Bombyx mori: one gene and its partner. The protein of the gene in region 2 interacts with the protein of the main gene of each other region in a pairwise test. Links are inferred from orthologs where the notes say so. Each region holds a gene or a part of one and is shown on either strand. Other genes may lie near its edges. The genes, in order: DNA-directed RNA polymerase III subunit RPC7-like and DNA-directed RNA polymerase III subunit RPC3.

Evidence for each region.
Region 1: the proteins of DNA-directed RNA polymerase III subunit RPC3 (region 2) and DNA-directed RNA polymerase III subunit RPC7-like interact in binary tests that used the Homo sapiens proteins (3 or more experiments, as listed by UniProt). The link is inferred for Bombyx mori from reciprocal best matches to the Homo sapiens genes POLR3C and POLR3GL.

The regions. Positions count from the first base shown.
Region 1 is NC_085117.1:13,528,750-13,531,953, reverse strand, and holds DNA-directed RNA polymerase III subunit RPC7-like, read right to left. Parts: upstream 1,829-3,204; 5' UTR 1,675-1,828; exon of another isoform or gene 1,553-1,674; 5' UTR 1,548-1,552; coding exon 894-1,547; 3' UTR 807-893; downstream 1-806. Other genes in the region: sperm-associated antigen 6, read left to right, coding at 1-82, 390-548, 2,172-2,317, 2,396-2,456, 2,542-2,613; uncharacterized protein LOC105842656, read right to left, coding at 2,666-2,765. UniProt on the Homo sapiens protein: DNA-dependent RNA polymerase catalyzes the transcription of DNA into RNA using the four ribonucleoside triphosphates as substrates. Specific peripheric component of RNA polymerase III which synthesizes small RNAs, such as 5S rRNA and tRNAs.
Region 2 is NC_085120.1:9,121,422-9,125,160, reverse strand, and holds part of DNA-directed RNA polymerase III subunit RPC3, read left to right. Parts: intron 1-636; coding exon 637-841; intron 842-1,442; coding exon 1,443-1,535; intron 1,536-2,298; coding exon 2,299-2,466; intron 2,467-3,214; coding exon 3,215-3,395; intron 3,396-3,739. UniProt on the Homo sapiens protein: DNA-dependent RNA polymerase catalyzes the transcription of DNA into RNA using the four ribonucleoside triphosphates as substrates.

The DNA of each region.
Region 1 (3,204 bases), on a different chromosome or scaffold from region 2:
GACATTAGGCCACATCGCAAAACACTCACCACAACACAGTCTGGCTGTTGCTGTGGCCAATGCTCTACCTAGACTGTTACAAGTTAGGTTGACCTCATTCTTACTTTAGATTAGTTTAGATGTAAAAGTATTTGTGGTTTAAAAATTAACAGCAAGCAGAATTAAAATTGACATAACGTTTTTTTTTTATTCGATGTACTAATTCTGATCACAATATTAAGCCAAAGTAATAAAATTACTATATTATTGTCATCAGTCTTTAATACTTGTCTGATACATGTGCAAATAGCACATTTATAATCTTTTCATTTATATACGTAGATAGATGTCAATATTTAAAGTATATTTAAATTATATTTAAATTAAACATCGTTAGTTTAATTTTACAGCTTTACACAAACCCAAAGTCTTCAGGAGAAGTACAAGCTCGGACATCATGTGCATTGAAACAGGCATTACAATGCTGTCTACATAGACCTGCATTAGAGACATTGTTACATTCTGCACCTGCTTGTATATTGAAATATGTACTAGCTCAGTATGCAAAGGTAATTATTCTAGTTAGGCAAATATAACAATAATACACTATTTCAAATGAAACAGTGCTCCAGTAATCAGTAATGATTGATTTTTCGATTGATTAACGATTGATTCGTTTAAATATGATGTAGCAGTTACTTAAGTAGTAAACTTCTTTCGCTGAAATATTCATTTATTTCTATTTTTTAAAGAGTTCTACCAGGCGGGACTGTTTTTCAAATTGCTAATAAAGAATATTTGAAAGTAAAAATTAAAAGTGAAAACTATTTGATTAACAGTTAATTGTAATTATTTTTAATATGCAAGATCAATCAGTTTCAACTGTGTAATATAAATTTGTATATATATATTTCCTAGTAAACAGGTCCATCATCCAAATTATCATCTTCTTCTTCATAATCTTCCCCGTTATCAAAATAGTTATTTGCATAGTCAGTACCATCATCTAGTTCGTATTCTTGCTCATGTTCATCTTCCAGCTCCTCTTCTTCATCTACGTTTTCGTTGTTTAATTCTTTTTTTTTGCCGTCTATCGCCTCATCTGTTTCCAGAGTCTCTTTTTTTTCAAGCGTTTGTAATCTCTTTGCTATCTCTTCGGGATCATCGAGTTTTCTTTTCCTCGGAACAGTACGCGGACGTTTTGCTTGAGGCCGTAATTCGGTAGGCATGTTAACCCACACGCAATCCAATAACTTATTCTGCTTCGCATCAAGTGCTAACATTTTGTACTTATCAGAATATCGCTCTACACCGTCAGTCTCTGTTTTGACTTTAACAAATGCCGGTGATTCGTGTAGATATTCAATGAACTGATCTTTGACAATGAGCATATAGTCAGTGGCGGCATCACATATAAGAGGTAGTGGTTTTTTCTCAAGTTTTGGAAACAGTGGTGGCGGCACAAGTGTTGGAGGAGCATTGTCGCCGCGTGTCACACCTAAGGCTTGTATTTGCTCAGTAGTTAATGATAAACCGCTACCCCCGCGTCCTCGTCCTCTACCTGCCATTGTAACTGTAATCGATTTTTTGATCAGAAAACAATTTGGTGATAGTTAATCTATTTAAATTTGAAACTCCAGATGGTATCTACCTATCTCAAATATATTAAGTGTATAATCTATGGTATCTACGTACCCTACTCATTTGTTATTGTTTTGAATCGGATGTTTTTTCGTTTAATTCTTTCATAAATCAGGTAATAGAGACGTAGCTCATACAGCCAACGTTAAAAAAAATCGTGGCTTTATTTATTTTTCAAAACGTAAAATGCAGCAGTATGAGAATTATTGATAATTTGAAATTGACTATGGCGTGAAATAAGAATAAACTAGAGATGACATGAAATAAGCCTATGTATATTGCCTTCATCATTTGAAGAACGTGAACCAATTACCGTAGTAATTCGTAATGAGGTTCATCATTTATTAGAACAAAATATACGTGCGAATCATTCTCTTGCAGGCTAAATCCAAGAAATGTGTATGTTTTTCTTATTAGGGTCTTTTGCAAGTACCATTTAAATTTCATGGAGTTTCATAATTTCTGAAAAACTGTTCAGTTCAGAAATTATTATACAAATTATAATGAAAGTATAAGGAAGTAGATTATTTATGTTCGTTTTATTTTTTCAGATTCTACCCAACGATGCAAGAGCTAGAAGGCTTTTTGTTACAACAGGAGCATTGAAAAGAATACAAGAAATTGAAACAGTGCCCGGAACGTCCCTGAAGGAGTATATTAATATCATAAACAGTTGCTTCCCTGAAGAAATAGTAAGGTAAAAGACTACCTACTAAAAGAAAATTTGTCCTACTCAAATCTCAACTGTGGGCTTTTATACATTTTTCATTTTCAGATATTATACTCCCGGCTACACAGATTCTTTGCTGGATAGAGTTGAAGCGTATACACCACAAGTATGGAATAAACTCTTATGTATATATTTTCGATAGACACTTGTAGTTTTCATGTATTAACATGTAACTTTCTTTTGTTGAATAGATACCAGAACTTTTTACTGATCGGGTGCCGAGTGATTGCCAAAGCGAAATGAGTATAGAGAAAAGAAATTAGTTTATTTTTCTTATATGTTGTTAAATACAATTTATTAATACTGTTTCAATTTTCATTCTTTGTACATAGTCCAAACAATTTTTTGTAGTTGTACATTTCTTCCACCAATCTTAGATTCTTCTATTACCATTGATTGAGTCAATACTCTGTAACTGCAATAGGATTATGGTTAAATTTGTACACAGACCGATTTATCTGCGGTAAAAATCTTGCCCGATTTAGAGGGTATTATCCAATTCGCTACGAGTGTGTGCTTACAGTCAATTTAGCGTTAAGTAGTTACCTGAGCCCAAAGACATCACAACGTGAATATCACCACCCGGTCGGTGACAAAAGGTCTAAGGGCCCATTTTGGTACTGCTGGTCCACACTTCAAACTAGAATGCAGGACAGCTACGCGATAGAAACACTCAGAATGCGATTGTACATTACGTCAATATAAACCAATTTATATCAATTACCAATCGCAATACGGTTGTTTAACACTCAGAGAACGCTGTTTTCCAATATTTTTAACTTATTTTGTAAAGTTATGGATAGTGTCTAAAATAGAAGCGTAGGTATCTAAATGTTTCTTCAGTCGGCTACGTT
Region 2 (3,739 bases):
AGTTCATAGTCATTTTATAAGCACCACCACTAAAGTGGCATATTTAGATCTGGCATTCTCAGTTTATTTGCAGGAACAATTTACATTTAATATGATAAATAAGATAGTAGAAGGAAAAACTTATAGAAAGCCTAATTTAAGTTGTGGCCAGTGCACATGATAACTCTAACAATATAAATAATAAATCCTTGTTATTACATTGCTTTAAATTTGAGTTTCAGGAATATGCAAAAAAAATTCGGATATCCATTGTCAGATAGACAGACAGAAAAAAACAACAAAATGATTCTATAACGGTTTCTTTTTATCCTTTTAAGATCTGGAATTCCAAAAAGAACCCATTTTACTCAAAATGTTTATTACTTTACATTACAATATAATATATATTATATCACATACTATAATTACTATGGTTATCTAATAATGCGTAAATTTATGGTAGTAGTTGTCTGACGTCCATAACCATACTCACCATACTCACCATCAGGTGGGCCGTATGCTCGTCTGCCTACAAGGGCAATAATAAAAAACCATAAGCACAAAATATTTTGATTTATACAATGTTCCTTATTACTAGGCAAATTATTTGTATTCATTTCTTTTAGCTATTCTGATAAATATTGCTTTCTTCACCAGGAAAAGAACATGACTATAGTGAAACTAAAAGATATCTTTATAAGTCTGATAACCGCTGGTTACATACAGCAGGCATCTGTAGCTGAGTTGAAGGAAGGCAGCGAGATACCGACACTGGTGCCCGTCGCAACTATAACACCAGAGATTGATGTACGAGCTGTCATTAAAATTATGAATTCTGGAAATCTAGCTGAAAGTAGTGATAGTGAGTAATTTCAATATCATCTTGCTTGTCGAACAACAGAGTATGAACTGGAGTTGCCATTGCGAAACCCAGTAATAGTGTTGTCAAAGACAGCCCGGCATTCCCTCTAATAATAAGTCCGAGCATCACCTATGTATGTCACTGTTAAACATGATACTCAATGAGTAATTTTAACACGATCCAAATTATATTTTCCATTGAATACTGCTCGTAGAACAACAGAATATGAACTGGAGATACCGTTGCGAAAGTTAGTGATATTGTTGTCAAAGAAAGCCTGGCATTCCACCTAATAATAAGTCCGAGCATCACCTATGGATGTCTCTGTTGAAAATGATATTCAAATTCCAAATCAAATGAAGAAGAATATTATAATGTGTAGATGATGTGAGAGGCTGCATTGTTGAGCTTTGATGGGTCATGCTGGGCAGACTGGTTAATGGTCTACCTGATTTTAAATGATCATAGATACCCCAATATAAAAACCACAACATGAGTCATGAATGAATGTTTGAATATAAGATATTTGACAGATTGGTAGGCCATTGGTCAATATTGATTTATTAAATAAGAATTTGAGATATTTATGTTATTGTTTCAGATGTGTACTGGAAAGTTAATTACGACAGGTTCCATCAGGATATCCGCGACGAAATTATGATCAAAGCAATCACAAGACGAATAGATGAAAACGGTGAATGTTGTTTTCTTTTTTAAACGTCTTTCGAGGCAGACACAGGGATACGTTAGCAATGCTAGAGGTCATCGAAATTTTTTTTTGTTCTACCCAAGATTGGTTTTTGCATATGTGGATGAAGAAGATTAAGACTCAATTGCTTTCTCTGCTTTGCGGCAGAATGGTACCTACCTGTGCGGGCTCACAAGACGCTCTACTGTAATTAAGAAGTTTATGACTTTTACAGGTTTGATATTTGCCTTCAGTGTCCTAGGAATTGAGAATACTGGCTATCTCTGGCTGGGAGTGCTCTGTGGAATTGTTTGAGATGATACCATCATCTCGTTTTTACCACCGCACCGCCCGCCACCGGAGTAGAGTTCATCCATATTACCTGGACCCACTGCGTTTCCAGAGATCTTTTTTGCCACGTACCATCCGGCTTTGGAATAAGCTCCCCTCCACGGTGTTTCCTGAGCACTATGTCACTGTCATGTCACTCTTCAAAGGAGGCTTGTGGAGAGTATTTAACGGTAGGCAGCGGCTTGGCTCTGCCCATGGCATTGCTGAAGTCCATGGGCGACGGTAACCACTTACCATCAGGTGGGCCGTATGCTTGTCTGCCTACAAGGGCAATAAAAAAATATATCAACATCAACCAAACATTTATGTCATTGTTCAAACGAGGTTTGCGGCGAGCATTGCTGTCATATGAATAGCCGGACAGACTGATATCTTTGGAGTTCCTCTGATGAGTTGTGAATTTTGTATTCTTCTCCAGCCGGTGAGCTTCTTCGTCATATGCTGCAACACATGTACCTGACGTCTCCGGCGTGGGCTGCAGAGTCTACACTAGTGCCGGCCGTGGAATTGAGGGAGGCTTGTCTCCGGGCCGCTGCTGACAAGCCCCTCTTGAATCAGTATTTCGATCAATATCTGAAGGTCTTAGGTGAGGTTTTTTTATGAGTAAGTGAGTATTCTTTAGTGTGCACCCAAAAAAAAAACAATGCGATACGTTAAATAAAAAAGTACAATTGGAGGTGTTATCGCTAAGAGCGATCTCTTCCAGACAAACATCAGGTAGACAAGATTCATTTGGAAACGAATATTTTTTTTTTATGATTGAAGATTTACTGGTGGCCTGGAGGCCTTGCCAGTTTCACCAGGACGGGTGGGCGAGCAAAGGCTCAGCCAGAAGGGGTAGGATTTGCTAACAGCTGCCCGAGCACCTCCAAAGGAGACCTAACAACTCAAGAGCAGCTGCTTCACGGATGAATCTACTACCAGATCGGAATCGCGATCCGCTGAGAAGATCCTTACGTGCGGTGTACTAATCCAGTGAAATATATATTTATACACATACATATGCACAATTGAAAATTCATAAATTATGAGTTGAAGTAATATTGAATTATGGTGAATCTGACGCGTCATTTCGGATCCTCCCGATCCATTATCGGTGCTTTTAGGCACCACAAGCACCTGTCATCGTTTTCGTCGAAACCGTCGCTTGTGACGTAGGTCCCGGCGAGTAAATTGACCCATAGACATAGCCCACTGAGTTTCTCGCTGGATCTTCTCAGTGGGTCGCGTTTACCATCTGGTCGTGGATTCTGCGAAGCACTGCTCTTGCTAGGGTTAATGTTAGCAACACGCTTACGTTACGCTGACATAGCCTCTCAAACTTATTAGCTTAGGCAGGAAAAAAAAGAGTGCGTTGCGTGTGACAGAGGAGAGCGGGTGCGGCACGGTGCGGGCGGACGCGGGGGGGCGGGGGTACAGCGTGCGGGGGGCGGGCGCGGCGCGGGGGTGCCTGCTGGCGCTGCTGGAGGGGCTGGTCACGGAGAGACTGGGCTACAAGGCCGCCAGGATATTCAGGTTAAACTTTGCTTTTTTTTTACTGGTGGTAGGACCTCTTGTGGGTCCGCGCGGGTAGGTACCACCGCCCCGCCTATTTCTGCCGTGAAGCAGTAATGCGTTTCGGTTTGAAGGGTGGGGCAGTCGTTGTAACTATACTGAGACCTTAGAACTTATATCTCAAGGTGGGTGGTGCGTTTACGTTGTAGATGTCTATGGGCTCCGGTAACCCCTTACACCAGCTGGGCTATGAGCTTGTCCACCCATCTAAGCAATAAAAAAAAAATCACACGTCATTTCTCTCGGCACATTTCCACGAAAAGTCACACACCGATTAATCGATCGACGATTTAAGGTCTGTAATT